Linked DNA regions of Mus musculus. The protein of the gene in region 2 binds, or shares a complex with, the protein of the main gene of each other region. Links are inferred from orthologs where the notes say so. Each region holds a gene or a part of one and is shown on either strand. Other genes may lie near its edges.

The links.
Region 1: the proteins of Asf1a (region 2) and Cdan1 are in contact, whole or in part, in a cryo-EM structure (PDB 9CVC), measured with the Homo sapiens proteins. The link is inferred for Mus musculus from reciprocal best matches to the Homo sapiens genes ASF1A and CDAN1. Residues at the interface, in NP_054753.1 of Homo sapiens: Gln5, Val6, Asn7, Asn8, Val9, Val10, Val11, Leu12, Asp13, Pro15, Asn20, Pro21, Phe28, Asp37, Val45, Ser47, Ala48, Glu49, Ser50, Glu51, Glu52, Asp54, Asp58, Ser59, Val60, Leu61, Val62, Gly63, Pro64, Val65; in NP_612486.2 of Homo sapiens: Arg195, Arg196, Ile197, Asn198, Thr200, Val202, Lys390, Leu391, His470, Glu471, Glu472, Pro473, Gly474, Trp475, Asp476, Lys538, Arg541, Arg544, Leu545, Gln546, Arg548, Leu549, Met550, Ala551, Pro552, Gln553, Ser554, Ser555, Arg806, Lys807.

The regions. Positions count from the first base shown.
Region 1 is NC_000068.7:120,722,583-120,738,433, forward strand, and holds the start of Cdan1 (codanin-1), read right to left. Parts: upstream 8,936-15,851; 5' UTR 8,920-8,935; coding exon 8,830-8,919; intron 8,611-8,829; coding exon 8,120-8,610; intron 7,924-8,119; coding exon 7,717-7,923; intron 7,518-7,716; coding exon 7,348-7,517; intron 7,221-7,347; coding exon 7,107-7,220; intron 7,028-7,106; coding exon 6,949-7,027; intron 6,452-6,948; exon of another isoform or gene 6,150-6,451; coding exon 6,029-6,149; exon of another isoform or gene 5,862-6,028; coding exon 5,752-5,861; exon of another isoform or gene 5,366-5,751; coding exon 5,276-5,365; exon of another isoform or gene 5,150-5,275; intron 4,895-5,149; exon of another isoform or gene 4,791-4,894; coding exon 4,715-4,790; exon of another isoform or gene 4,708-4,714; intron 4,214-4,707; coding exon 4,008-4,213; intron 3,716-4,007; coding exon 3,595-3,715; intron 3,486-3,594; coding exon 3,339-3,485; intron 3,180-3,338; coding exon 3,013-3,179; intron 2,682-3,012; coding exon 2,594-2,681; intron 2,400-2,593; coding exon 2,310-2,399; intron 2,145-2,309; coding exon 2,090-2,144; intron 1,885-2,089; and 12 more. UniProt on the Homo sapiens protein: May act as a negative regulator of ASF1 in chromatin assembly.
Region 2 is NC_000076.6:53,588,230-53,604,310, reverse strand, and holds the start of Asf1a (histone chaperone ASF1A), read right to left. Parts: upstream 7,351-16,081; 5' UTR 7,122-7,350; coding exon 7,013-7,121; exon of another isoform or gene 3,638-7,012; coding exon of another isoform or gene 3,630-3,637; intron 1,964-3,629; coding exon 1,848-1,963; intron 1-1,847. UniProt on the Homo sapiens protein: Histone chaperone that facilitates histone deposition and histone exchange and removal during nucleosome assembly and disassembly.

The DNA.
Region 1 (15,851 bases), on a different chromosome or scaffold from region 2:
AGCCAAGGGAGTAGGGTAGCTGTGTACTTTTATCTCGGAGATGAGGTGGGAGGGGAGGGGAGCATGGTGCTCACAGGCTCGGGAGCAGCCCCTCCGCTCCACCCGGGCAGTTGGCTCAGGACCCTGGGCTCGTAGCATGCGACTCACGGCTGCTTTCACTTCCCTTCTAATCAGCGCTGCCAGGCAGAGGGAAAACAAGATTGGAGTCACTGGAATGTCTCCCTGCAAGGGCTAGTCATGACAACCCACACCTTTCACTGGTTTTAAACAGCTCACCTAATCTCCCACAAACTGTTCAATACCCTGCCTGTCCACCTTTAAAAACTTGGTTCAGTCACTCCTTTCCTAGACCTCACCTGTGATGTTGGCTGACAACCAAGAGCAGGCTTTCTCTGTCGCAAGCCCCACAGCAATGTTCTCTGCACTGCTTAGAACCTGTGGCACACAAGGACTGCTGAGTCAGGGACTTGGGAAGGCAGGTAGTACAGCATTGGATTCTACAGTCCAGAACCCACCCTACAACAGCCTCACACAGGTGCATGTGTACACATATGTGTACATGCCTGCCTGCCTACTGGCCTGCTAGCTGCAGGCTTCCTTCCTACGTACAGCAGCTGGGGTCTCCTCTGGTAACAGTGCTCGCACAGCGGTGGGGCTCTTCCTTTGGCAGAACCTAAGAAAGGAGAGGAGGAGGGTCAATGTCCGGATAGTGTAGACTGACTCACAAAAGTAAATTCTCAAGTGCAGCAGGCCTATGAATGGAAACTCTAACTCAGAAGGAAGGACTGTCCATTCTCCTGCCCCAGCACATATGCTGTAGGAAGGAGAAACCCACCCATTAGCCTTACATTACAGACTTCCAATTCCATATCTAGACTCCATGCCCAAAGACATAATCCTTCAGAAAGGGGGAATAGGGCAAAACAGGGGAGGAAGGAACAGAAACGGAGCAAATGGAATGTGAAAGAGGCAAAAAAAAAAAAAAAAGATAGGAAAAATAAATCAAAAGGAAGCTGTGTGTGCTGGCTCATGCCTGTCACCTCAGCACTTGGAGATTTGAGGTCAGCATAGACTACAGAGTGGGACCCAGTCTTAACAAAAAATTGACAAAACCAAGAGGAGACTTCAGGAAATGAGAAGGCTCAAATAGATTAACAGTTCTTACTCCCGCCCCTGGGTCAATGCTTGGGCCCCATGGGGGCAGAGTTGAGAACACAAGGATTCCAAAAGCTGTGCTGGATCTCCCCCTTCCTGTCCCCGTGCCACCAGCTGCTCCTGAAGAAGTGACTCTGCTTGATGCACCAAATCTGCTACCAGTGTCGCCCTGTAGCAGGGAGAACAAGGTTTGGGGTGGTTAGGAGAGTTACGAGGAAAGGGCTGCAAATGGAAGGACATTTGGTCAGAATGTCCTTCAAAGGATAGAAGAAATTTCAGCCTCCCTGCCCCCCACCCACTCCCTCTAGGTGACTTTGCTTAGTTTGGCAACAGGTTAAAGTTTAAAGGGAAAAAAATGAAGGGGGCTGAGACTAGGGTTCTTACTCCACTCTTACTTGATGTGTTTGACACAGTTTGATCCAATTCTTTCTGCCACAAATTCTACAGTCCTGCGCAGGGAGGGTGGCTGGTTGTGGAAAAAGGCCTCAGCAAGTTGAGCCTGGCAGGAGGTGGAGGCAGGTGTAGTCGTACCATGAGGGCTTCCTTCTGCCTCCCTCCCGAGCTGCCCCCCTGTTTCCTGGTCCTTTGCCCTCACCTGCAGCCCCTGGCTGGTCTGGAGAGGCAGGGCTCCCAGGCTGCTGGTGGTAGTGGGAGTGATTTTCCTCACAAAGCCTCCACTCCGCCCACTGCTTCCTGAAACCCAGGAAGCAAGCAGTTTCCGGAGCTCTCCTGTAGAGGAGTTGAAGTTCTTAATTCCAAAATTATCTCCCCTTCCTCCCCCAAACATCATGGCCTTTGTGGGGCAAAGACGATGAAGTAACCAGAGAGCCTAAAGACAGAACAGTATGCTGAGGAGTGAGGTCCTTTTGGGTATCCATGACAGGCCAGGCCATGGACCAGGCCATGGGCCATAAGGGGAGAAAGAGATGCTTACCAATGTAGGGGCAACAGGTATATAACAGCTGCTGGTCCACAACAGGTACACTGTCCTGGGGGAGAACAGACCAATGCTGGATGGGGAAGGCAGGCAGTCTCCCTTCCCTCCCGAATGTGCAGAAATAGAAGTCTAGAAGATGGACCGTCTTAAGTCTTCCCTAGCTGGTCTCTTGCTGGGTCCTTATCTATTCAGCTCATTTATCTGGTGTGACACTCACCAAACCATGCTCTGAAGCAGTTGTAGTCACCTCAAAGGCATCTACCTGACCATCTTCTAGAAAGAATAAGTCCTCAGGAACTGTAGGTATCTGGTAAGAGAGGAAGGTAGTGAGAACACTACTGGCACTCTAAGATTTGCCATGGTTTCTAAATCTGTTAGGGTCCCGGGTCAAGCAAGTTTCTTCTGAAGCCATAGCAATACCCATCCCTCTCAGAACCTCCCTCTTCTGTTCTCAGACTCTAAAGCTCTGTAGTCTGCCATGGCAGCCATCCATCCTCCTACCTGGAAAAGCCAGCCCAGGACAGCAAGCAGCAGCAGCTTATTCAGGAAGCACATCTCTCCTTCATTCTCCTTTGATAAGACCAAACTCCTAAAAGGTAAACGGAGGCCGTGAGCAGACTTTGTCTACCAAGGACAGAAGGCAGTAAATAAAAGCTATTACTAGGAAGGGAGTTCTCAAAAGCAGACCTAAATCACACTACTGTTGAGAAGACCAACAGGATCCTAGTGAGACTTGCACTTTATATTCTTCTTGACTAGACCATAAGATAAATGGGAGGATGGATCATGGGAATGAAAGACAATTGTCACAATTCTGCCTCTCCTGAGGCTGCCATAGCTGTGGAACCACACAGAAGCACAGACTTCTAGGCCCACTTTATAAATAGCAAGGCTATGCAAATAAGTCAAGTTCTACTCACCGATGTAAGCGCAGCAGGAGAGTAAAGACACTCCGGTAATAGTCCAGCAAGGGGACAATGTGGTCAGCAAAAGAGAGGAATTCTACCAGCCAGGGCACAGTGAGCACTGCCCGACGGGCCCACAATCCCTGCTGCAGCAAAGCCCGTATATCCAGAACAGGAGGGACCTGGGAAAGCCAGGATTCTGTCAGTGAGCAGGCTCTTAAAAGAGGCTGGCTAACACCCTCTGACCTGCCAGGGTACTAGACTAGCCAAGGAAACCAGCCATCCTCCACATTTCTCTGGTCTACACGGCTCTTCCTTACCCAGATCTTCCACATGCTCACCTGGCTCCTGAGGGCCAGAATAGAGTCCTGAAGCTCACGGGTCGGGGGTGGTTCATGTCCCCGGTATGGCAGGAAAGCCACAAAGCCCAGAAATTTAGCCAAAAGTCTAAGACTAAGAAGCACTACAGCAAATTGCCTCCGTTCACCCTGCATGAGGAATCAAGGGAAACAATGTTCTTTGCATAAGTCTTCTGGAACACACACATCCTTTCCCTCCTACATCAGACCCCATTACCCACTCATTCTGTTTTCTGACCTGCCAGTCCATGTCTGACTCCCCATCTTCATCACCAGGCTCGTGCTGAGGCAGGCGAAGGCCATTGAGCTCCCGAATCTTTAAACTTAAACTATCCATGAGGTGCTGATTAAAATGGAAGCTTGAGTGGAAAAAAGCAAAAGACAAAACAAAAAAGGCACTGAAATTGGTAAAAAAAAGAACCAGCGTTTAGAGGAGATGCCCCATATAACGATTCCTAAGAAGGATGAAGCTAAAGGACGATGACATTACCTATGTGGGCAAAAGAATGAGACAAAAGAGGAACTCTAAATGGGAGGAACCAGACATATCCAAACCTGAGGCTCAGGCAAAAGAAAATGGCTTGCCCATTGGGGAGAGCAAATCTTTCTTGGCCTCTGTCTCTCTCCCTGTGAGATACAGGAGTTCCTTACCTGCTGGCACTCATGATGAAATCCCTGAAGAAGCCTTGACAGCCTGGGAATGTGGGGGGTGGGCAGGGCCCTCCACTGCTCTGAGGGGCTATCAGCCGTTCTTGGAGCTGCCGCAACCGTCCTAGTTTGTCAGCTCCTAGCATATTCAATACATCTGGAGCTTCACCCAGAACAGATCCCCCAGCACCGCCAGGGCTCTGACACATCTGAGATGTCCGAAGGGAGGAGAGAGATGAAAAACCCGTAAGAGAAAAACTAACAAAATACTGAGAAAGTAGGCTTGGGATATATAGCTTGGTGGAGAACACCTGCCCAGTATGAGCAAGACCCTGGGTCTGAAAAAAAGCAATGAGCACTCCAGAGGGTTTGTCTTCTAATTTGGCAGATGAGGAGATAAAAACTGCAAGGCAAGCACTGTTTGCCTCAGGTCACTAGAACAAGGGTTTGAGGATACCCTGACTACTAAGCTCTCTTTGTACCGTAGCCAAGTCAAGGAAGGGATGGTGGTGAGAGGCTACAGAAGGGTATGGAGTCCAGGGCAGGCCAGAGAAGTCAGAGAACACATGCCCGCCAAATTTGAACTATCTCCCAAAGAGAAGGCGTTCTTTTAAATTTTGTAGCCAGAATCAACTAGGTTGTCTATCTGATCCAGAGTGCCAACCTTTATTTATCTGCCCACATCTTTTGGCTACCACTGCAGTTCTTACCTGGAGAAGCTGTTTTTGGAAAAGGCGGACAAAGTGGCTGTGGCTGCAGGCTGCTGAAAGTTGACCCATCATGGCTCTGAGGAGAAAGAGACACAGTGTAGAAAGGAGACAAGGGATGCATTCCGGCTATTTACCAAAGAGGTGAACAAACTCTTTGCCAGAAAGCCCACCCAGGAGAAGGTAAGAAACATTCATTTCCTTCACCACCAAGATTTCTCCAGACTAGATAGACAGACTTAACCCACCCAGAAATGCCCTCTCAGATCTTCAGGCCATGCTCATTGTCAGTGAACGTCATTATCAACGTAAGGGAGTAAGGACAGGATACTTGTTTCATCTATGAGCTCTGTCCTTTCCCAAGCTTCTGCCTTTACAGAACAAGTGCATGGCATCCCTGGGATTGAGAAGCTAGAAAGGAAATCCCTTTTGTTCTAGGTAGGTCGAGTTACCAATAACTAGAGACGGAGGAAGAGATGGGTGAAGGAGGGAAACCCTTGCCAACCAACACCCTAAATATTCCTGGGTTGCTGCTTACTGTCAGAGCAAGGACGGAGCACCCACCTGATCCTGCTACCCAAGCCCTTCTCAAAATCCCAGCTGGGTTCCTCGTGATGATCTTCCCACTCTCGAAGTACCTCATAGAACACATCCCTGGAAGATATGGAAGCTTCATCAGTTGCCTCCCAGTTGCTTACATCCACTTCCCAGAGCACTTTCCCTTGCTTGGAAGGTTTAAGATAAGCCTGCCCACAGTGCCAGTCTTTAACCCCATAGCTCTCTACACGATGGTAATGTTACAGACCCAGCAGCAGCACATCACAGGCATCTGTGGACAGGGAAAGCTGACCCTAAGATGGTCGGCTAAGCTCAGGGATTCAGGTCTGTGGACATGAAACAGAATGAAGCCAACAGGCTTTATGATGACTGCCAGCAAAGGGTCTGAAGAGCAGTCACCCACCCCTTTCAGTGCCTAGCTGCTAATTCGAGGAAAGGAGAGATTGTTTATGCCCTCCTCATCAGGGCCCTTTTCTTTTCACCTCTGTTTTTTAAAAGTATGAAAGGCTCGATCACTGGAGAAGTTGGCACGATTGTCAGTTTCTGGCTGGAAGGAGACAGCCTGAGCAGAGGGTGGTATCACGAGGGAGACCTAAAACATGGCAACAACATTAGGAAACAAGACCTGTTGGATCACGTTTACAAGACTTTACTCCTTATTCCTGCCCAGAGTCTGCCCACCTGACAGCACCATGGAAACTGTCTGAATCTGCAGACCATCTAGGCTACTCAGTGAGGCTACCTAGCGAGGGTAACTACCTTGGCAACACTGCCTTCATAAGCAGCCCGAAGGCGGCCCTGCAGAGCAGGTGAGAAGCACAGCAGCCGCTCATTCTCAGCCAGCAGCTTTAAGGTCCCTTTATCCAGGTAGGAGAGAACCCTGCAAAGAGAGGGCACACATGACTGAGACCGGCACACAGGCTGCAGATAGAAAGTACATCTGAGGCATTAGACAGGTGTTTAAGCCTAGGTATGTATGGCAAGGCCATGGCTAACAATCAAGACGATGAAGGTAAAAGGTGAAGGAAGACATGAGACTTCATGAAGCTGAGAGCAAGACAGTAGGATAGAATATTAGCCATGAACATTAAGGTCAGCTGCCATGTGTTTGTTGTCCCTATTTTTTTTTCTTGTGGCATACAGGGCTCTCTATATTATGAGCAAGCACTCCAGTGATCTATATACTTAGACTCTTTTGTATATATTATTTGGGACTACAGCTTAATATTTTTCAAAGGCTGGCCTTCAATTTTCTGCAGCCTGGGCAGGTCTTTAAACTTGCAATCCTTGCTTAGCACCAAACCCAGCTATTTATTTTTTTAGAGGATAAACTCAGCCTTGATACAAAATCAAATGATACAGATGGGCCAGGAGTTGTAGTGCATGCCCTCATTTCCAGAACTTGAGACGCACAGGCTGGAAAATCTATGCAGGTTTAAGGCCAGCTTGTTCTGCTTAGGGGATTCAAGGCCAGCAAGGGCTACATAGTATCACCCTGACTCAAAAACTAAACCAAACAAAACAAAACAAAAAAACCAAACCAACCACAATCTCCTCCCCCTCAACAAAAGGTTACAGGTAAGGTCTAGGGCAACTGTATCTATTAAGCAAAGGCATGCACATCCCACACGGCTAGAAACAGACATATAAGACTCAAATGTCACAGCTAGAAAACTCACTGAAACTGATGCTCCAAAACTTGCACTGCAAAGAAGACGCAATCATGGATGCTACGAAACAGGGGAGTGTCCAGGGAATCTAGGTCAACAACAAACCGTTAGTTAAGAACTGTCCCACCTGCAAACATCATTTCTCAAAGTGAGACTTGCTTACTGACCTAGGGCACCCTGACTTGATTCCAGGTCACTGTCCTTGGTGGCCACCATTCTCCGAGCAGTAAGGAGCTGAAGGACGAAGAAAAGCTCCAAGAAAAGGTTTGGTACTAGGTTCTCTGTTTATAAAGAGAAATGCCATACCATCGTACCACTGACAAGCAGGCCAAGGCTCTGCGCCTCCTCTACTCTCTTACTCTGTAGTTTGCAAGCATATCCACCGCAGCCCCCTTTGCGCTCACTCACCAGCAATGCAGGAGGAGTAGATAAGGGCTACCAGCTCCAGGCGCTGTCGAGAAGACACTCTGGCCGGGTCGGCAGGCTCTGCGGTGAGGTTTCCTGTCCTGCTGGGAACCGGAGACCCCGATTCTGGGATGGGAGAGGCTGGGGTAGGTGACTGCTGGAGTTGCTTGGTGCTATGTGAACAGGAGGAGATGTCATGATTAATCAGCCTGGCTTTACCAGCGACATTCACATTCAGGTTCTGCCAGAGAAGACATCAACAGCCCAAGAAGCAAACCCAGAATCCCGAAGGGAGAAATCAAGTTCAGGAAAAATCCCTGCAAGTCCCGCATAAGGAGGAAGTTGACATCCCAGGTGGCGGCAAAGCCATACCGCGCCTTCCTGAGCATCTCCCGCTCCTCTTGCAGACTTCTGCACCCTGGGGGAAGGCCAAGGCCCCAAGGGCTAGTGTCCAGGGTTGAGGGTTGGGAACTGGGGACACAGCTGATTGGGGGTGAGGTGAAGCAGGTCTTGGGCTTGGACAGTGACCGCTCTTCGCTCACCGGAGTTGGGTTGATCCTTCGAGAAGGCTTCGTTCTGCTGAGAGTAGTCACAGTTTTTTGTTTTTTTCCAATTTTCTATCTTCAAGCATCATTCCATCCATAACAGTTGGGCCCCTTTTAAACCCTCCCCCATTGTGGTTTCTTCACCCTCAACCTTCTAACCATCGCGCACTCTACTGTGGGGCACCAAGCTCGGCTTTAGCGAACATCTTGCAATAAGGACCGATTCTCACCCTGCAGAGCCCGGAGGAACGGTGCCTACGGGAGGGAACTCCTCCAAGTTGCTGAGGTTTGGCGGATCAGAGAGCGACAGTCTGGGGCTGCCAGGGCTGCCTGAGCCCTTAGGCTTCCGGCCTCCGGCCCAAGGCGGGCTCTCGCCACTCGCCCCCTCCTCCGCGGCCCCGGAGCCCCGACCGCCTCGTTCGCGGGACGGCCCCGGTCCCGGACCCCGCCTGCGGCCCGCACGGCGGGCCAGAGGTGCCTCGGCGGCGGCGCTGAGGGGCTCGGCTGCAGGGAAAAGCTGGCTGCGCGCCCCACGGCCACCCCGTGCCGGGGCCCCCTGCCTCGCTGGCAAGGCTGCCGAGGCGACTGGGGTCTTGGCGGGGGTTGAGGGGCCCTGCGGGAGGACCCGGCTGCTCTGCTCCCTCAGGAAGTTCAGCAGGAACGGCACGAATTCCTTCCGCAGAGGCCGAAGTGCGCTCAGAGCGGCCACCTCGGAGCTATCCTGAGGAAGAAGCAGAGGTCGCGGGGCGAGAGCGTCAGCTGACAGCGCGGGCCGTCAGCGGCTGAGGCCGCAGGGTGGGCGGCCCGGCAGCGGCGCGCAGAGGAGCGAGCGCCCTTGGCGCGGGCCGTCAGGCAGGGCAGGCTGGGAGAAGGGACTGAAGCATCATCCCCCGCGGGAAGCACATTCCAGGCAGGCTTGAGGGCGTGTCCGCACTGTTACCTCCGAACTCGGGGTGCTGCGCGCGATCCACCGCACGGCGGCTGCGACCGGCACCTCTTCGCGCAGCAGCGACTCTAAAACGGCCGCCATCCCTGTGCAGGCGCTCTGAGGCTACTGAGCAGGCGCACTCGCGCCACGGGCAGCCGGGAGGGGCGGAGCCGGCGACCGGGATCGACCGTTGGACGACGGGGCGGGTCCTTGAGGGGTGGGGCTCTGGCGGCCCGGGAAGATCTGCCCAGCCAGCCAGGCCTGCAGGGCGGCGAGGCGCCTTTCTCTGATTTCCTGGCCCCTGGAGCAATGTGATAAGATGAACTGCCTGAGGAGACCCGGGTCTGAAAGAGGGACCAGACAGGAAAAGTGACCAACTCTAAGAGACCAGCCTATGAGACCAGACACCTGTCATAAGCACAGCCTTAGACCATGACTGTAGAGCTTTTTGAGTCACTCCCTCCTCAACCAAAATAAAGTGAGTAACCTTGTGTTTTGACCTTTTTGTTTTTTCTGAGACATGATTTCTCTGTATAGCCTGGCCACTCTGTAGACCAGGCTGACTTCGACCTCATAGATTATCTTGCCTTTGCTTCCGGAGTGCTGGGATTAAAGGGGTGCGCCCGGCCTACTTAGCTCCCCACCCCTTCCCCTCTTTTACTCAAAAGGCTGACTCTTTACCATTGGCCAACTTTTTCATCAACTGACAATTGAGGACAGAGTTCATGCTGAGGCATGTTATAAAATCATCAAATGTCCATCAGACTTGTATTGAATCCCTTACGTATTGTATTAAAGAGTTTACAGCAGGGGAATATCTCAACTTCTTTTACTTGAGAGGTCAGGATTCATGATTAGCTTCTGGAAGAGTATGGCATTCCTAGACACACTCCCCCGACCCTCCTCCACACACACTGGCTGGTTAACCCTCTGGCTACACTTCCTGTCAGGTCCCTTATTTTGAAAAATATAATAGGCTTTCGGATGATACTCCTTAGTAAAAGGAAAGAAAAAAAAATCAAGATATAGGATCTATAGTTTCCTCCAAAACAAAGTAGCAGTGTATTGGCCCTGTGTTCCTCTCATTCAAAGGAAGACCACTTGGTGATAGGCAGTAGATGGAGCAGGAATCCCTCTAGCATACTGCCAAGGAGAAGAAAAGGGAGTTTTGAAAACTTAATTCTGTGCTGGATTTAGTGGATGCTTGCAATCCCAGTGCTTGGCAGGCAGAGACAGAAGAATATCAAAGTCAGCTTGAACACGCACGTCAGACCCCTGAACCCTGGTGTTCACCTAGCGTCTAAGTTAGCCAAAATGGCCTTCTCTTGGTTGTCTGTCACTTCTGTAACACTTTAGTAGTTTAGGAAATAGTTTTCACTTTTTGAAATCCAAACCATCACACAAATAGCACTAAAGTTTGCATGCGGACTGAATGTTTTATTACTAGATTATAAAAATAAAATACAAAATAATTTTAAAACAGAACTTAAAACACTGTACAAAGCTTTAATATGGTACAAATGAGAAAATTAAATAAATAATTACACTTTTATGTACAGATGGCCTATACAAAAGCACTGCATGTTTTTCAATACTCTATGCCCATGGTTGCCTGAGCAAAAACACATAAAGGGAAGATGCTTGAAGGAGAAAGGATACAATGTAACACATTGAAAAGAACTTCAAAGAGCAATTTCGCATCTCATTAAGAGGAGGACAGCAGAACATTGACTTATTTCTCTTGTTCAGTAAGAGAATTCGGGTTATGACTAAGTTTGATAACATTTGCCAGTAATAATTTATGAACTCATTATATCTAATACAAAATGAGATGTGCCTCCTTTTCTGAAAAACTTGGAATCTGTAAATAAATGATCTGATTAAATAGATGCCATTTAGGAAAGGTGTCAAAGGAGAATGAGAACTGTGCATCAGGGAACAGCAAAGTGGCTCGAGCCCAGGCCATCAGATCTGTCTACTCATCCAATCCAACAATCCAATCTCTCTTACCTAAGATTTTGTTTCTGCCTTTCCCCTCCCCCCTATTTTGAGACAGGGTCTCATAGAGCCTAAGTTAGCTTCGAACTCATTATTCAGCTCATTATGTATGACCTTCAACTCCTGTTCCTGCCCTTACCTCTTCAATGTTGAGATTATAGGCATATACCACCAAAATCTAGGAAATCCAATCCAATTTCAAAGTCCTGAGTGGCCCAGTGCTACATTTCCTTTGTCTTAAAAAGAAGATCTATTTCCTATATTTTAATTTCTTAATTATCTTAGAGAACTAATTTCATTGATTTATAGTTTAATAAAACTGTTTTTAGCCAGGCATGGTGGCTCACACCTTTTTATCTCAGCACTCTGGAGGCAGAGGTAGGTAGGTCTGGAGTTTAAGGCCAGCCTAATCTACAGAGCAAGTTCCAGCTCAGGGCTACACTGAAAAAACCCCCATCTCAAAAAATCAAACCAAACCAAACTGTTTTGAATAAAGTCTTAAGGTTTCTTCTCAGCAAACTCCCTAAAATAATAAATCACAGCCCAAACTCTGTATAGCCTTGTTTACTACTGTAAGTGAGCAAAAAACACCTGGCACATTCCAACTTTGATACAAGTGAATTTTTGATGTTTTCAATTATGTTTTATGGGAGTTTTAAAAAGTATCATATGGCAAGAATAGTCTACATAAAAACTTGGTTTAGGTGAATAATCATGTATACAGTACAAAATAATTTTAAATTATCAAGAGATAAATCCCACTGTTAATGTAAAATAACGTTATTAGCAAATTCTGTAATTCTATTAGTCTCAGAGATCTGCGTCATTCATACTGTTGTTGGTCTAGAAATTCTAGTTGAAGGTACCAGGAGATGTGGTCAGCATCACCTTGAGCCTACAGTGTAGATACTATCACCTCCAATTAGAGAAGGCAGAAACTTGTTACATTTTAAGGGCAATGAAAGGACTTTTGTTAAGGGCTCCTTAAAACCAAGGATTGAGCCCAGTATAGGAAATCATCTCATCACCTTGAACTTGCCTTAGCTGTCATGTTTATTAGTACTTATATAGGAGCAAATACTGAAATCATGACTCAGTAAATCTTTGCTATTTAGCATCTTGAGATATTGTGAAACCAAGAGATGAATTTGTCACTAATTTTCTGATGCAAATCCTCTCCCAAGAGGAAGAACTTACCTGAAAACATATATATTTTACCCATATTTTCCTCTAAGTGAATAGGGGTTCTTTTTGTTCCATACTTGGGAGTTACCTAGGAATTTCCCACTTCCTGCAGTTATGGAAAGCAATGCTGCATAACAAGATCCTTAAGGCTCCAAGATTGTGTAAAATTTCTGGAGAAATGGCCAAAATAAGGCAAATACCCAATAATATGAGGACTTTCTACTTTACTTACACATTCTCAGAGTGCACACTCGAGTTTTGTAAAGTTTTGGTGAGGATAGGAAGTGGGGCATGTTTACCAGACACCTCCCACTGACTGGGTTGTGGAACTGCCTCTAGTTTTCTTCTATGAGTTAAGGTCTAATATGCATCACTGTGGCTTCTGAGTTGGGACTCTAAGTGTTGTTGGCATGTAAGGACCATCAGAGTCGTCACATGCTGTAATCTTATAATGCATTTGGATTAAAACATAAAAAGCTATTCTGCAAATATGTTGTCTATAGAACCAAATTCAAGAAATTTAAGCAGTACAGTTGGTTACAAATGTCCTATTACCTCAGTGACAGAGGTGTTGGTTACAAATGTCCTATTACGTCAGTGACAGAGGTGCTAGATGACCTCCCCCCAGAAACAACATTCCAAAGCCATAAATAGGCACAATGTAAAACAGTGAATGCAAACCATGAACATGACAGAAGTAATTATACACAAATGAGAGCTGTGTACTCAACATATAATATATACATACATGTATGAAAACTTAAAAAAATAATTAAAAAAATAATGTTTTTGTTTTTGTTTTTTGGGAGAGGATCCCACACTACAGCCCAGGTGGACTTGCAATCACTATGAAGCAGAGGTTGGCTTCAGACTCTCTTCCATCTTTCCACCTCAGTCCCTCAAGTATTGGTTAGAAACATTAGCCATCACACCTAGCTAACAAGTTTTAAAATATGAGAAAATTTGATCTCCAAGGCTAAATCTAGATTATCTATAAGTATATTTTAAGATAACATTTTCAAGATGCATCTTTTTCCTAAAGCCACTAAATTGTGGATCCTGTTTCTCCTATCACCAATTCCTAATGTTAGATTAGAAATGTAAAATTTTCTGCCCTTGAGGAAAAGGCACCTGTTTGTCAAGGTTATTATTGGGTGTAGAAAATCTCATTACTTAGCTAGCTATGCAGTCTAGGTTTATAAAACATGCAGCAATGTACACCTTTGCTTTTGTACAATGGATGCAATCACAGAAACAGAAGCCTAAGACTCTGTGACTGAGAGGGAGTCTGGTACTTGCTGCAGCCCCTCAAGTTCCCGCAGTGTCCAGGAGTAAAATGAAACACCGCATCAGCATACAGTGCTTCAGTGGGCTGGAGCAAATAATGTGCAGTGGATAATGACGTCAAGGACTCTTTGACCGTTTGTTACTTTTTTTTTTAGGCCTTGATTAACTTGTTGCAACTTTTACCAAAGATATTCATTGCAAAGCATGCAACTAAAGAACTAAAAGTGGCTGTGCTCCTGTTTGCAAGGCCAGCCTGTGTGCAGAGCTGGAGAGAAGAGCCTAGATTTTTTTTGTTTTTTGGTGTTTTGTTTGTTTGTGTTTTTGTTTTTGTAGCCAGGGTTTCTCTGTATAACCCTGGCTGTCCTGGAACTCACTTTGTAGACCAGGCTGGCCTCTAACTCAGAAATCCACCTGCCTCTGCCTCTAGAGTGCTGGGATTAAAGGCGTGCGCCACCACGCCCAGCTTGCCTAGATGTTTTAAGATCTCTATCTTAATGCTGAATCAGATAGGATACAATTCCCTCCTGTTTTCACTATCCATTAAAGTCAAGATATCTTTAGGATGTGCAAGATTACGAGGTATGATTTTAATATTTCAAGCAATTCACAAAGCCTACGGGTCAGTAGTATAATTTGGGGGCAACATTACCTAAAATTAGGAACTAAGTGTTCATTCTTTGCTCCACTGAAATAAGCACAGGACAGGCCTGAGTTAGTAACCTGTGTAGATAGAAGCCAGGAGGTACTTGTCTCCCAAAAGATAATTTCTGTCACACCCTACTTCTATTATGGCTACAGTCATGTTCTTTACCTTATTTGGATGATTTGTGACTGAAATATGAAATATGCCATCAATAAAAACCTCAAAGAACTGAAAACCCAAACCAAACCGAAAGCTTGATTCTCTAGATCATACTCCTGAGTGAAGAGCTGGCTTAAGACTGCCAATTTTTATTTTTAACCTGAAAGAAATGTAACATGTAAAAGCACAAACTATGTTTTTTAATCTTTTGTTTGTTTTTTTAAGACAGGGTTTCTCTGTGTGGCCCTAGCTGTGCTGGAACTCACTCTGTAGACCAGGCTGGCCTCAAACTCAGAAATCCACTTGCCCCTTCCTCCAGAGTGCTAGGATCAAAGTGTGTGCCATCACACCAGGTTCTACTTTTTCATCTCTGTATCAGGACAGCACTTAATAATAAATGTAACTACTGATACATACGATATAATTAATTAGTCCATTTCCTTTTCTTCAGAGCAGAAACATCTTTGGTTGGTTCTTTTCCCTACATACAAAATAAAACATTCTCACATAATGAGGCGTTTTGTCTCTGGATTTTGATGAGTTTGTGAACGGCATGCAGAAAAGGAGGCAACACACTGAAAGACAGACAGAAAGCATCTCTGTCAGCATGACTGCCAGCAGAGAAATTCACAAAGAAAAAGGCTGGGCCCTGTTAGCTTTCCCAGTTACTATTAGCACATGTTTGACTAGAGAGGACAGCAAGAAAGCCGGCTACTTTTAGCATCATTTAGCTAATGTAACAGAAAGAATTTTAGTTACCCTACATCCCATCCCCACTTCCCTTCAAAAAAGTGACATGGAAGAGGCAACTTTCAGGAAATGTTTTAAAAAACAGTTGATGTCAGCTGCATAATTATAATGCCCATCTATCCACTCTAACCATATGGACAGAACTATGTGGCTAACATGAGTAATCTTTGAGCCTGTATTACAAGCATATCTTGTTAAAATTTTCCCCTATTAAAATACTTTTTAAGTGAAAATTAAGTACCTTACACCTTGGCTTGGTAACAAGTGCCAGCTGCTTCAGTGTGCACCCGGAAGGCAGGACTACTCTTAGGGACCACATGCCAAGAACATGTGTTCAGAAAATGAAGACAGGCAATGCCCAAGTGTACATGAAGCACACAATAGAAAAGGAATTTTATCATCTATAATCTTGAAATTACAAATGCAGAATGAGAAAAAAATGGATTTATATAAGCATATGTCTCTTCTATATTTATAAATATTTATATAATTTACCATGAAAGACATGCAAGCAGTACTGCAGTAACTGTTATACAATATAATACATAAGGATCAGTCTCCAGTATTACAGCTGTAATAGATAAACAACAAATGCGCCTTACCTACTGCACTGCTCTCAAGTGCCTGAACCTGGACAGAAATTAAGATTCCACACTATGCCCCATTTCTCATGGGAGACCTTATGTCTCAGTGTAGTGTCCCAAGTTTGAAAACGCTCAACACAGAACAAGCTAAGTTAGTTTAGTGCCTGGGCAGCTGGGATGCACCCCTGGAACATGCTCACTTAGTGAAGAAACACGTTTCCTTTTCCACCCCACTCCTGAAATTCAACAGTTACAGGTTTGGCAGCAATACAAAGTCAAAAAGTAGATGTTTGTTAGAAGGCAGATTTCAACAGCAGGCAGATCAATTTCCCTGACCTCAATAAGATTTTTATACACCCACAGAGCATCAAATAGTCCACTTAAAAAGTCTGGTGTCTTTAATTTGCCTGATTTCTGCTAGTAAGAGA
Region 2 (16,081 bases):
CTATGTTAAAAATGTTGTTTGCCAAAGGATTTAATTGAGCAAATTTGGGTGAAGAAACGTGCATAGCTCTCAGGTTATTAAGGCTGGAAAAGTGATGGGGATTACTTTTGTTGACCCAATCCAATCAGTACTGGGCAGGTGTCTGGACATCTCTGCTAGTCTTAGACCCATTCCTAAGGCAGTCAGTCATATTTGATTATACTACGCAAAATGGCAGACCAGAAAAATAAGACACTTTGCTCATAACACAAAACAAAAACTGCCTTAGTTTCATTTTGTTAGTAACTGTCAGACTTTGAAAACTTCACAGTCTAACACATGACCTAAATCACAGTGCTTTCTCTGTTCTTTTTGGTAACATTTACACTGATAGCAACAAAAAGCTGCATACTTCTATGATATTTACCTCACAGCATTGCAAGTCAAAAAGGCTCACTTTAAAACCATGATGTACAACATTTTACAGCAATACAAAGTGTCTATATATGGCTACACATTAAGCTGACCTTCTTTTACTACATCATGAATTACCAGTGCAGTATGTAGTCCCCAGGATTTTGGGTGCAAGGGAATCCTGGCTCTTTACATAATGAGAATAAATTAATAGTTTAATTAATTATAGATATAGCTAGTTTTGTCAGTAATTTGCTGATTGCCTTATTCCTCATAATACTCATATGCGGTAGGTCATTAGTGGGGTCCTGGATCTTAGTGAGCAGAGGCATCAGGCTGCCTGAGACTGCGGGACTTCCTTAGGCAGTCTGTGTTGCTACGGCTTTCACAAGGTTACGCACACACACAACTCAGTTTGATGGCACTTTTAATTAAAGTATTGAAGCCTTTAAATTACTATAGCTGAGCCTTTCTTAGCCATTTGTTTATATATACTAAATAATTTGGGGTTTCCTGCTAGAAAACACTCAGGCCCAGATTCAGTTCTGTATTTAAAAGGCAGCATCTCTAACAATGTTCTCTTAAGCAAATCTTCACCCATTCTAATGGGATTATTTCAAAGAAACTATGCATTGAAATTGTCCTGGGTGTGAAGGGAGTAAGAGAGGCCAAGCACAGGAAGAAGTAGATTTTTCTCCTGGATTATGCCTGCAGTGAGATTTGGTTAAGCAGAAATACCTCTAACAAAGATTAATGGTTCTTTAAAAGCTAGCTCATTACTCCCTGCAGTATTATAAATATCTCCCTTAAGAAGCATGGATAATTGAAAAAAGTCACTAGTTTTATATAGCAACTTAATAAAGCAGGAGAAATAACACTCTTTGACAGAAGATAATGTCTAAAGCTTGGGCACAGACCTAAACACTGTCAGAGGTATCTGAGAACATAATTTATACTATGAGTATTTCAACTCACAAGTTCTAACAGGGTAATGGATTTGTCACAGTGGTCCTCTATAAAAACCTAGATAAGAAGCTTTGATGAAGTATTAGACCGTCATTCCAATGGCTCAAGTCACATGTCTCTATCTGCTAATGTTGCAGTTACTATACTAAAGTGAGGTTGTTGCTATCATATCAGCAGATGCATGCATGTTACTGACCAGCATTTGAATACATGTTTGGGGATGCTTTCATCTTGAGAGACAGTCCATAGGACAAACCCAACCTTGTATGCACAGTATACTTGTAGTCTGTCTAGTTCCTGAAAGTAAACTCAATATCCCTGCATATAATCGTAAATATAAATCCTTTATGATAGACACTGCCTGAAATGACAGCAGACTAAAAGTGAGAATAGATAAAGCAATTAGTTAACACAGAAAGGGTAGGGCTCTGAGGTAGTTTAGTCTATTAGAAACATCCTTGTCATATTTATCTGAAGATTAATCTTACCTGAAACACAAACATATGCCTTCCTGCAGGAACGGGACCCACTAAAACAGAGTCTAAAACTTGATCGTATTCTTCACTTTCTGCAGAGCCCACATAGATTATTTTCCACTCCAAGTCTAGGGTAAAAGAACGAAAATCATTATTTCATAGCAGCAATTATATATTAACATAATAAAGTCCCTTTTGTTGACCACTTAACTGCTAAATGGCTTCTTACCAGAGAGATATAGAAATATTACTTATATATTTCTCACCAGAATTCATATTTCATCCCAATAACTTCTCCAAATGTTTCATAAAGCACTGGTCCCTGGAGTGTTCCTCACAAGTAAAACATGAACAAAAATTGGGGAAACATTAAATGTTTGCTATAGGTACTCATAAAGCGAAGTTCTCAGAGACCTCCTTTAGGAAAGAACACTGGGAGCGATAATCCCATCGCCCAGGCTCACGGACTATGCAATCCCCCAGCCTCTTTTTGAGCTCCATTTTTAACTTCACCCCTGTAAAAAAGCTGCTCTATGAAACAGAAATCATCCCAGAATCTAAAGTGGAAAAATCATTAGCAAACCTTCCTTGTGGTTCAGAAGTTTCAGCTCATCTCCTGACATAAATGTGTCAATCTGTTACCTGACCACTCTTACTAACTAACAGACTAACTGTGTACTTACCACTGTATTAAACACCATGCCAACTGGATCCCAACCAGACACAGTGGTGCTCTTCCTGCCTGGTATTCCTTTCTGCCATACATTCTTAAAACTAGAGGAAACCAAGCTCCTATACCTCTTCTTATAGCAGAGTACTTACATAGCAAACAGGCAAGGACATGATACACTCAAGCACAACCTAAGACTTGCCTTGTAATTCAACCTAGATTTCATTAAGTACCCTTTTAGAAAACTCTATGGAGAACTGAGAAGATTAAAACCATTGCTCTTTGAAGGAATGTAGGAATCTGCTCTTTAAACATAGGAAGACGATGACAGACAATCTCCTATAGTGTGATCTATGCTTAGCTTCGTTATAGAAAGACTATACTAAGCACTCCCAAGGGGCTGAATCTCTAGTTCACTCTGGAGAACGTGCACAAATCCTTCCTGTGTAGCTGTGTAGGTATCTCCTAGATCTGTAAGAGTACCGGCACTCCTTATACTATACGTGTAAAATCAAACTTGTTAAATTGCAACTTCCCTGTTTATTTGTAATGTTTTAAAAGCCAGTAGTTACTATTATGTCCTGGCTCCATCATAGACTAAGGCTATTTGTATTTTCAGCTTTCAGTACATTTCAGATTCAGGGTTCTACACCTGGGATCTCATCAGGTCACTTATTTGCTGTTGGATCTAGGAAGAAACTATAATATTTTCTGACTAGAAAGACCAGCAAAAACAGCCACAAATGTAAAAAACCTGCTTGGTGTGTTCAAGAATAAGCCAAGAAGCTGGGATTTTGGAACAGAGAGAAGCTACCCAATCCTGAGGCTGGGGTGGGGAGCAACACACTCACATCATACCAGGCCTGATGACCACCATTAAGGATTCTGGCTTAACACTCAGCAGCACCATTTTGTTGTTGTGCTGGGCATCAAACCCAGAACTTTCACACATTCTAGGCACCCACTTTAATCACCAAGCTACAGCCCCAGCTGTGACCCTGTAAAAGTTCCTCAAGGTGTGGTGACTATCCAACCATAGAGTTATTTTGTTTCTACTTCATAACTACAATTTTGCTATTGTTATGTAGCAAATGAACTGTAACATAAACATCTGTGTTTTTCAGATGTGTAGTCTTCTGGGAGTCATAACCCACAAGTTGAGAAACACTGCCCTGAAGGTTTTGAGCAGAGAAGTACAGGAATCCTCCTTTTATCTTTAAGGATAATTTTACTTACTGTGCTTGTGTAAGCTGTATGAGGGCAGGAGAACAAGAGATTGTTTCAACTATTCAGTACAGAAAGCATGATGGTGTGAGTGAGTTATGGTGGCCATAGGGCTGGTGTAAAGCATTCACATCCTAGATAAAGTTTGGAAATAGAAGCAGCAGTAGCCACTTTGGGGGGAGAGGGTCTGTGTAAAGAACAAAATAATCAGGAGTTAGTTTTATACGTGTCTAAGATGCCTATTAGGTGTTTAATTATAAACACAAAAAGGTCAAATTTTTAAAAATTGAACTTTGGCAATAAACCATAATGACAAGGATAGGAATGGAACCAAGGAGTGAAATGAGCCTTCCTCAACACTAAAGTTGGAAGGCAAGCCAGGAAGAGGATGAATCATTAAAGTCGTTTAGAAAGCTAGCACCCAATGAAGGAAGTGACCCAAAAGCCAAATGAAGACACAGCTAAGGAGAGGGTATATGAAAGCTACTGACTTATCTAAAGTAAACATTTTATCATACAGTTAGAATTATTCAAGCACATATATATTTTGTGTTTGTGTGTGCACACTAATAAAAACAAGAAAGCTGAGACTGGGCGAAGGTAAGTAATCTAAAATTCAGTTAAAGATGGGTTGCTGCTACTCAAAAATCATGGCTTTTAAGCCTTGCTCTTTCTAGCTTTCAAGTAATAGGTTTCAAGAGTATAGAAGAGAGTGGATAAGGACAGGTAATGGAGAGTGGGTTAATCCAGCCTTACTAAGAACAAGGGACGGGCACAGGTTGAGTCTGAGTGCGATGCCATGCTTATTTATCAATGTGTTTAGAAGCCGGTTTCTCTTTTCTATGCCTCTGTATTCTATGAGTTATGGTGAAGGGCTGTGGCTCTACAAGAGTTTCAATCTGAAAATTATCCATTTATTTTAAAAGTTAACTTTTCCATTTACTCATGGTAATCCCAGCCAGAAAATATCTCCATATGTGGTGGAAGGGATACTACCAAGGAAATTTTAAGTTAATTACATTGTTGGGAAAATCTGTGGTCTAGTAGAAAATATACAGTCTTTGCAATCAGAACAGGCCTGAACTTTCAAAGTATAAAGCCACAGGGTCAATTTTGATGCACTGCAAGTATTAAGCCTTAGAAACTGAAGGAGGGCCAATTAAACGTATAGGCTTAGTGATCAAGCATAATAAAGCCCCTACTTAAAGTCTCTTTAAAAATGTTTAAGTGTGTTTCTGTATATATGGGTACTGATGTGGAGGTCAGAGGACAACTGGTTGGAGTCAGTTCTCTCCTTCTACCAAGTGGATTCCTGACAATAAGGAGGCTAATTGGTACGTTGGAGGTAGACACAAATCATAAACTCAAAATTACCTGTAGAGGAATTTCTACGTTGATCAGTAACTTAACAAGTCACAGTACAACAAAAGTATGGGCCCTAGAAACGAGCTTCTGCAGGGTAAATCAACGCCCATCTCCTTGCTCCACAGAGCCTCTAGATGGAGTAGACAGGAATGGCACCTTTGTCAAGGGTTCCTCTGCAGCTTTGGAATGACTCAGCTTAAAATACCTTAAAATAATGGTGCGCTGGTTTTGAATTGTACTAGAGGAAGGCATATTCTTGACTTGAGTAATAACACTGTTGTGAAAGGATCCCTGTTTAACATGGAACCCTGTTTGGTTTCTGTGGGTGGCTGGTTTCGAACTATCCAGTGTAATGACTCTGTAACAATATCCTAGAGCCTATCTTCCTCATACAATGTGGACCTAAAATGGAAGCCATCATATGAGAAACACCTGTAGTGTAAAGAACTTCTAATGCCTCGAACACTGCACTGAGTTAGGATGGACTCAGCCATGATCTTACTTTATATTTGATCATTTGTATATAAATTGGCAGTTTGAAAAAGAAAATTAAAATCAGTGTTGGGGTTGGAAATAGGTCTGATGTGGAAATGCTGTTACATTTCAAATGGAAAACACCCTTACACTTACATTAATCATCACAGTCTATTCAGAGACTACTATATTTTAATGTTTAGTCAATCTTCAAAATATGTCCCACTCACTAAATGTATGCACGTTATAATTTACATACGTATTAAAAACAGCAGGGTACGTTTTAAGTGATGGTTAGCCAAAGGAGTGAAGAGAAGGGGCTGTGACTTCCTTTTTACAATTTTTAAAGGTTTATTGCAATGGTTTTTATAATTAAAGTTAACATTCTACATGAAGTACATTGAAGAGATTATAAACTTTTAAATTAAAAGAGAAATTCTTTTCGTCATGATTAGGATAATACAAGGCATTTTGTCGAAATACTTTCAAGTCCCAAGATGTCCTCCTAGTTAACTAAAATTTAACACCAATGAAGTTAAACTTTTTGTTTCAAATGTTGAAAATGAAGCATTGATTTTAATAAAATCTAAGAAAAGCGTTAAGAAGCCATATTTTAGCTTTCTAAGTTCTGTATTACCTCACTATTTCGCATTTTTTAAACCGTAAAATGTACTTCAGAAAGGATTTTGCCTTCTATCTCCCAGCTAACGTTTGCATTTTCTCCATCTGCTTGGACGTGGAGTTATTTTAATTGCTTCTTCTTCACACGTTCTGGAGAAAGTCTTTCAGACTTTCTAAACGCCAGAGAAGTGCCTGGAATTGGTTAAGCACCCTGCTTCTGCTCTAGGGTGCCATGGAACTTCCCAGCCCCTCACCATTTCTCTCCGAGAGGTCTCTGTCCCCGGGGAGAGGCGGCGCACAGCATCCCGGGCGCCCGCGGAGAGCACGGCCGCCCCCCGGGAGCCAGGCGCCGAGGGGCCGAGCCCAGCGCCCGCCTTCCGCGCTGGTTGGTGGAGGGAGCCGGAGAGCGGCGCGAGGACAGCCTCGGCGGGGCTCGGGCGGGAAGGCGCGGGCCCGCTCGCCCCCGGCGGTCCGGAGCAGGCGTCGTGCCGCCGGGTAAGATGGCTCCGCTTCCCACCGGCCCAGCTTGCTCCCCACCGGGCCGTGGGGCCCTGGGGCCGCCGAGGCCGCACGACCCCCCGCCAGCGCCGCGCGAGCCGGGGGCCGCCGAGCGCCGCCCGCCGCAGACAAAGCTGACAACATGGCTCCCTCCGCCCGGCAAGTTGCTCGCAAGTTGCGGCGCGGCCGGCGTCCCTCAACTTCAAGTTTCCCTCGCATGGCCGCCCTCCCGCCGGCCGCCGGCCGCGGCCCACCCCGCGCGAGGCCGGGCCGGGAAACTTTAACGTCCGCCGCCGCAACTGACAGCCCGGCGCCACTCGCTCACCTTCAGACAGGTCCTCGATGCACTCGAAGGTGATCTCGAACTGGAACGGGTTGTAGAAAGGCGACGGGTTATCCAGCACCACTACATTGTTCACCTGAACCTTTGCCATATTTTGAAGAAAACACAAACAATGGGGCCGGGGCTGGCGGCACCACCGAGTCCCGCGCGCGGCCGCTCCGAGAGCGCAGACCCCCGCCCCGGCGCGGCGCGGCCCGACGTCGTGCAGCTGCGACTTGAGAAACTTTTTTTTCCTTTTTATTTACACGGCGGCACTCCACGGTGTTTTGCAGCTTTCCTATTTCACTAAACTACAGCCCATTCTGCCCTGATAACTAGCAGCGTTGCCCGCGATTGGCTGCCCCCGAGCTCTGACCCTCCTCCTCCAGCGAGGGCCGCGGCGGCGAGCAAGATGGGCTCCCGCTCGCAGAACGGACGGGAAACTTTCACTGCGGCTCCACCTGCTGGTGCGGACCAGGACAAAGGCGCAGAACAAAGTGAGTGGAATAGGGGCTGGGAGGCCCGCGCGGAGGCCGCCGGCGGCGGGGGAGGGGCGACGCAGGCCCCGCCCCCGCCCGGCGGGGCCGCGCCACACGTCGGGCGTGGCCGCGGCGGGACGGAGGGGGCGGGACCCGTGGGGTGGGCGGGGCCGGCGGTGGAAGCAGGAGGGCGCGAGGCGGCCCCGTGTGTGTGCGCAGCATGGGCCTTGGGGTTTTTCGGGTTTTCTTCCAGCCTTTAACGCTTCCCCCACCAGTGCCGGCGGCTTTGCTGGCTCTGCTGGATTTAGCAGATAAGGTGTGCTTTGCAGCCCTTGTCAGGCCCAACTAGCTGTCTGTGCTTCTCGCAATCGTAATGGTAGAGAATAGGGAGAAGGGCTGGTTGCAGTGGGAATAAATTGCATTTTTATAGCCCATGTCAGCTCGAAAGGAGCAAGCCATTTTGGAATTCAAGTTCTTGGCCACGACAGTGCGGTGAAATAGATACAAAATGAGGGCGGGGTGATTTTACACACACACACGCAGGCTAGAAAAAAAATATGCGATCTTCAGCTGCATGTTGGATTTCTTCCCATTTAATAACTGAAAAGATGTAAAACAAAACAAAAAAAAAGAAATAAAAGGGGGAAAACGTGATCAGTTACAGCGAGGCTTCTGTTGTTGGGGGGGCACAGAGAAAGAAGTCAAAAGTCGAGAAAATGGAAGTGTCTGAAGGCCAAAGGACAACAAATGTATTTTTGGTGGAATATGAGAAAGGAGAAAGCACAGATAACATGCCATTTGCTCTTCAAGGCATTTATAACAAACATTCATAAGTGAAAAAGTGCAGCACACCAATTCTGAGGAGACCTTCCATGCCTGTGACGCCTGTGAGACCATTTCAAGGCTGACTGGAGGAAAAGTTGCTTGTTTATGGTACTTAGCCACTGTGGGTAGACTAGGAAACAGGAAACGGAAACCTAACACCTTTGTGAATGTGAACTGATTCTTTTTACTGTGGAGGTGTTACTCATAAACCATTGGGTTCTTTTCTTTTTCCTTATAAATGAAACTACTAAACTATTCAATAAAATCCGGAGTGAAAATTATGTCTTAGTATTAATCTGCAAGTGAAGTTTCTGCTAGTGTGCAGAATTTAATTAATCTTCCTTGGACAGGTTGAGACTCAACTGGATTGCTGTGGATGATCTGTCCTTGTCCGAAGACCTTTAGTTATCATGAAGCAGGGCCTTCCATGTTTAAGGAGATTAAAGTGGGGAGAGAGCCACTTTTATTGTCAGTACGCTGGGCAATCGGTGTCCATCAGTTCAGTCACCATTGTTTTTGTGCATCAGAGTAAAAGTCACACTGTGGTAGTAGGCAAGATGACCATGGCTGGTAAATAATACACGTAGCTCTTATTAACCCTAGTTTTACATGATGTTAGCCAAGATAAAGGAAGCAGTGAGGTTGTAATATGCAGTTATGGCAGGCACCCTGGAGATTCCAACTGACTTATCAATGTGCTCTTATGTGCTTTTTACATGCTTCTTGCTGTTAGACCAGAAGTGTGTTATAAACTATAGAAGACTCATTTCTAGTGGATGTACATACACACACACACACACACACAAGCATGTATGTATCAGGGATTGCTTGTTTGTTTGTTTTTTGTCTCTTGTTTTTTTTTTTTAAGTGCCGTATATAACAGTATTTGGAGGAGGGATCTTCCCATTTTCCAAGCGCTATCTCCAGCACTCTCATCTTGCCCCTCTATGTTATTACTGCTCATCAAAAAATTTTAAGAAAAAACTTGGTCCAATAATTTTTTCACCATGAACAATATTTTTGGAAACCTACCCCTTCCTCCCCAAAAACCCCTTAGAAGCACTGTACCATGTTTCTAAGTAAACTGACAGCTTTAGGAACGATGATGTATACCACGCTGACTCAGTCAGAACAATGTCTAGGTGACTCCCCAGCAGAAAACCATACTATAACTAATGGGTCAAAACGGAGAGGCTCCACAGAAGGATCAGAGACCTCAAATCACTACTTTCTACTTTGGGTACTACCTGAATTTGATTTGTTAGATTTTTAAAAATGAAAACCATGAATGAACTGCCAAGGGCTGTTGTTACAGGCTAAATTGTGTTCACATCAAATTCATATATTGAAGCTTTATCATCTCAAGGAAAGGACAAGAAGGCCATTCACAAGCCAAGGGACTGGCTCTGAGGAAACAAGGCAAAGCTAGCAGCCCTGTAAGGTCTAGGGTCCAGTATGGTGAGGGAATAAATTTCTATTTAAACTTGTCAATGATATTTTGTTAGCTCTAGAAAACACACAAAGTATGTTTTTTCTCTCATAGCAAATTAAAGTTGTTGAGTATTTAAGCATGTTTTATCCTCATATTCCTGAGTTATCACGTGCCTTATGAGCCATGAGATGCAGTGGGGAGGATGCTGTGAGGATGGGGGATGCTATGCACAGCCATTCTCCAGTGCAAGAATCTGCTGACAGTCATCTATGTTGGTTGTTATTGGAGTAGACAAGCAGTGTGTTTCCATGGATCCGAAAATCCTCTGCAGTGGGCTTCTAGGACTGAAACATTTACTTAAATTGAGGTTTCACAGAGACCAATGAAAACACAAGTTAAATTCAGTAGAATTTAAATGGGCTGGGGAAAATTTCCCGGGAGCTGGGAGTGAAATGGAGTCTCAGTCCTGCCTGCCACAAAAGGTAACATAGAAACAGTGGAGTAACTTTTACAAAGTCCACAGCATGGAATGGAGGTCAGAGGATGCTCTGGTGTAGTAGGCCTTCTTCCTCCTGTTTGTGGGTGCTGGGGGTGGAACCCAGGCTGGCTGAGAGAGAGAGAGAGAGAGAGAGAGAGGGGGGGGGCCTTCTCCCTCTGAGCCATTCCCAGACCCCTAAGCTTGCTCCTGTTGCACTTTTCTCATATTATTTTACACAGTCACTGTGTTGTCTAGGAAGGTCATTTGTATTATTACTCCCGTCTTTAGAAACAAAACTGGGCAAAAGTGTTGCTTTTCTGTTTGCTGGTGTTGCTTTTGCTGTTTTCTGTTTGTTTTTGTTTTGCAGTGTTAAGAATTGAATCCAGGTTCTCACATATTAGGTAGGCAAGTTACATCCCAAGCCAGGCACACTGAACTGTGATCTTTATTAGCATAAAGTCCCCCCCTTTTTTACACTAACAGAACATCAAAACTTGGTGACTTGTTTTAAACATTATTTTCCCTATAAAACTGTCAAATGTGCAGATTTGCTGGAGTGATTTTTCCAGATATTTCTAACTGAAATCTTAGTGATTTTAATTTGTTGCATATATACAGAAAGCATCTATTATGTTAAATCTCTGTGCTGAGTGCTAACATAAAGATAAAATAGATAAAGTGTATAAAGAGCTTGTGGCCCAGTAGCAAAGGTAGCTTATATGATCAAAAGTACAACTGAAAGAGAAGGATTTAAGCTCCATTTTAACCAGCGACATTAAAATGAGCAAAAGAAATTGTCTTTACTCTTTGTAAAGAACGTTTAAATAGCAACACAATACACTAGAATGGTTAGAAGGGTAAGGCATTACCACCCAGCATAGCAACTGAGGGCTGCTACTTAGGAACTGGTTACATTCACTGTTGTCATAGTTACAACTCTGTCTTCACCATAGCAGGTAACATATAAAGTATTCCTTATGTATAGAAAACTAGAGACATAAAATTTCCTTGGGGGATAAGCATAGGCCAGCCAGCACTGTGTTAATGACTTCATTAATGAATCCCTAAAGAACAAAACTGTGAACGTGGATGGCCAAGGCGGTGCCAGAGATGGGGCTTGATCCAGCCAGAGCAAAGCCAGAATCTCCCCATGGAGGCCTTTCAGACAGACAGACAGCCCTGAAAGTGGGGGAAGGATAGAGCCGCTCATCCTACCCTGAATCCTTAGATATTTTAGAACTGATGCCAAATTAAAAAGCCCATCCCCTGTCTTTTCATGAGTTTCACTTAAAGGTAATTATATTTTTTAAGTGTGTGTGTATACATAAAATTCAGCACGTGTAAGAGGACAACCAGAAAGGGCTCCTCTCCCTGTCCAGCCTGGGTCCTGGAGACCACTTTTAGGTGGTCAGGCTTGCCTGGCCAGCCCTTTGCCCAGTGAGCCCACTGGCCAGACCTTTAGATTCCCTAAGGCTTCCATGTGTTACAGTGTACATTTTCCTCATCGTGTGCTCCATAGCATTAATGAATGCTTTACAGTTTTGATGTCCATTCCAATCTACCAGTCCATTAAAATTTTGTTAAAGATGCCAGCTATATATCTAATACCTATGTGTAGCTGAACTACTGAGAAATGCCCGTCAGATCACTACAATTCTGCTTGCTGACCCAGCATAGTTATGTGAATGTTGAAATGTCTTATTGTTATTGAAGTGTTTTAACCAGTACATTCATGGAAATGTCTAAAAATTATTCTGTGTTTCCTAGTTCTGATTTCTTAAGCGTTCCTCCTCCTTTGAAAGCAGGTCCTTCTAACCTCTTTAGCTCAGTCTTCCTTGCAACATGTCTTCTTTCGTTTTTACATTTCTTTGCCTCTCCCATTCATCAGAGGTTTTCCTCTTTACCTGTTAGTAGGAGGTGGGGAGCGAAGTGATGAATACAGAACTCAGATCTTTAAAACATCTCTAGGCTAGACCACTGCTTGTACAAAGTCATTGCTAAACAAAGCAGCTTTTTCTAGTTGGTTGCTATAGAGACAAATGACATTAAATGGAGTCAGATTTGGCATGGTCTAAGCAAGTAGGCTTTGTAAGGCTGGGGCCTTTTAGAGACAGAAACTAGGAAGGATATGAAGGGGACCAGTTTCACAAATGAGCTGACAGGTAATTAATTGGTAGATGTTGTCCAAGCATCCTTACGTACAATTATATAGTATTTTTTTTAAAAAAAACAGCTTAACTCATAGCATATTCTCACATTTAAGGTATCTAACTTAATAGCTTACTAAGGATATTCAGGATCATGCAATCATCACCACAACTTTAGAGTATTTTCATCATCTCATGAAGGTACTTTGAGGCCTGCCATGATAGCTTACACCTGTCATCCCAGCACCAGAAGACTAAGGCAGGAATGAACGTAATGCCAGCCTGATCTACATAGAGAGTTCCAGGCTGACGAAAGCAACATGTAAGCTCTGTCTTGTAAATAAAATATAAATACACGTATATGTGGATGTAGAATATGTGAATATATATCTTTCTACTCTTTAACTACCACTCCCAGTGTTGCATCTGTAGATTTGTCTTTCCTGAACAGCATCTTTCAAACATGTCTTTGATATTTTCATCCACAGTATAGCACTTATTAACACTTAATTTGTTTTTGTTACCCAATAACTTTGTACTTTCTGGATCGAACTCATGTCCTTCCCTGTCAGTTGATGACGTGTGAGTTGCTTCCACCTTTGTCTATTATGTATACTACTGCTAGGAATATTTGTGTGCAGAACTTTTGCATATGGCTGTTTTCATTTCTCTACATTTGTGCTTAGGGATAAACCTGGACACAAATGGTAAGTAACTCCCTTTGAGGAGCCACCAGATTGTTTACAAAAATATCTGCACCTTTTACCATTTCTATTAGACACAAGTGTTCCAAATTCTCATTACCTCTACACTTGTTATTATGTGTTCTTGAGGAGTCTGGAGACATGGCTTAGCAGTTACAAGTACTAACTGCTCTATTAGAGGGCTTAAGTTCAGTTCCCAGCCCCACCCACGGCAGTTCACAGCCCTCTAGAACTCCAGTCCCAAGTGATGCAACAAAACCCTCCTAGGGTCTCTATGGGCATCAGGCACATGCCTGGTGCACAGGCATATGTGCTTGTAGACCACTAATAACATAATAAAAGGTGTAAAATATAGTTTTGACTGTAGCCATGTGATCTATAAAGTATATTTCATTGAGATTTTGCTTTGCATTTCCTCAGTAGCTAAAGCTGTTGTTATGTTTCATTTACATGTTGGACATTTCTATATCTTCTGAGGAGGCTATTTTCAGATCTTTTCCCATTTTCAGTTGGCTCATTTTCTTTTTAGTTTGGAGTTGTGCTCTTTCCATCATTGAAGTCAAGTCTTTTCAATACATGGATTTAAATTTCTGTGAGTTGGTATTTTTGGTGGTGTCTTTTCCAGAATAAACCTGTGTGTGTGTGTGTGTGTGTGTGTATTAACTGTTTTATCTGCTTTAGGTTTTTGTTTTGGCTTGTGCTTGTAATTTCTCAAAATTATTACCATTCCAAGATCAAAGATTTACAATGTTTTTTTTTTTTTTCCCTACTTCTTGTTAGAAATGGTGGTGGCTCAGGGCACCCCAAGACCAATATCTCAGCACAAATATTTATTTACCCCACAGGGACAAAGGGCAGGGGGATAAGAAAAAAATGACAGGAAGTAGAGGACAAGGCAGAAGAGAAAAGGAAGAGGGGAGAGGCAGGAAGGAATATTTGGCCTGAGGGACTGCCTCTGGATAGAGAGGAGAGGGCATTGGTGATTTATAACAGGCAAATCCCATGTTAGGTTGAGGTGTTTGATTTTAATTAGGCAGGTTAATTAGGTGAACCAAAGGGGCCTTTGATTGCAAGACTTTGATAGCTGGGCCTTGGTAGTCTGTCTTTGGAAGAGGAAGTGGCCAAAGGTAAGATAGGCCCTGGTGGCTAGTTTAGGACTGTAATTTAGCAGGGTTTTTTGCTTGCTTGCTTTTTAGCAAGTCAGAGGGAGAAAGGCAAGGACTGCTGGGGTTATGTTTGCCAAGCTTAGGCTGGCTAGAGTCCCTTCACTTGTATGTAGTTTTAGCACTTTACAATTATGTCTTTGATTTCACTTTGAATTATTTTTGTATGCTATGCGAAGCATGAAATCCAAAATCATTTTTTGCAAGGGGGTGTCCAGTATTCAAGTGCATCTATTAAAAACATTTCCCTAGTCACTTGGCTTAGATATTTTTTCTTTTAGATTTTATTTCTGTGTCCGTGTGAGTATGTGCCATGCGTGTGCACATGGAGGGCAGAAGAGGGTTCCGGGTCCTCGGCAACTGGAATTCATTAGACGCTTGATGGTGGTGGTGGGAACCAAACTCAGATTCTCTGGAAAACCAGCAAGCACTCATAAACATTGTCGTACCTCTCCAGCTGCGTTAGTTTAGAATTTTTATAAAAAGTAAATTTGCTGTCAATGTTTTGGTTTCTTTCTGGACGGTTCTACTGCTGACCTGTTGTCACGTGGTCGTCCGGTTCCTTTACCTTGCAGTTTTGAAGTGAGGAATGGAAGTCTTTCCATTTGTTCTCTAGTTTTCAGCTTGACTCCCTGGGGTCCTTAAGTTTTCCTGTGGGTCTTAAGGATATTTTGTCAGTGCCGCACAGAAGCCACTTTGAATGGAGATAAAGATGAAATTGAACCTGTACTTATTTTTTAGGTTTTAAATTTTTTTAATTGTGTGTGTTTGTCTGTGTGGTTTTGTGCATCTGGGAAGAGACACCCAGAGAGCCCAGAGGTGTCAAGGTTGCTGGAACTGAACTGTTACAGGTGGTTGTAAGCTGACTGATGTGGTTTCGGGGAGGTAAACTCGGACCCTTCCTTTTAAAAAAGCTGGGTGTACTCTAACCCCTCCCCCCATTTCTCCAGCCCCACTTTGAGGGTATTACGTTGTAACAATGTTGTCTTCTAGTCAGCAAATTTGGGGATTTGAATCATCTAATCACTTTACATTTTTTTCAGCAGTACTTTGTAGACTTTAAAGTCTTAAGTTCTATTTTGTCTTGTTGGATTCATTTCTGCTTTTGGGGGCTGTAATAATGGAAGTATTTTCTTAATGTGAATAATATAAGAATGGCTACTCTTTCTCTTCTTTAATTAATTTGAAATGTTTTAATATAGCATATTTAGCTCATATTTTTTTTTCATCTCACCCAACTCCTTCTAGATCTATGGGGAAGTGGAAACGTGTCATCAAACAGAAAAGGTCGAGCAGATTAAGAAACCCCAGCGATTCTCATAACTGAGAATGGTAGGCGTTTGAATCTGCTCCCGACCTGGTTCCTGTCCTAGAACATGTGACCACTACACCCCACTACGAGAACCAGGGCAACTGGTCCTGTAGCAAGTAGCCCAGAGTTCTCTATGCTAATGATGTATCTAGATGGGCCCCAAGGCTTTGGCCAATCAGCTTCCCTTCCCAGACAGTCCTTCCTGCAAAAGGTGTTTAATCTCTGGCCCACCCTGAGTAAGTTGTATGCATCCATTTTAAAAGATGAATAAATAGTTTGGACAAGCAACCACCATGGAGGGAAGCCTTCCTTACTGAGCTGCGCTTGCTCTCTACCTAAGTCTCCTGCAGAAGGCCCCTCCAAGTTCCTAGTACTCACCCTGAGCTAAGCCAGACACACACACCCCCAGGCAACCAGCCCTGGGCTCATCACCAGTATTCCCAACTCCTTGCAATTCCCAGTGGTGTCTGGGTGTCTAGGATATTGGGATCCACAGCCCCTGGCTATGTGTTTCTCACAGGCTGCTCCCCCC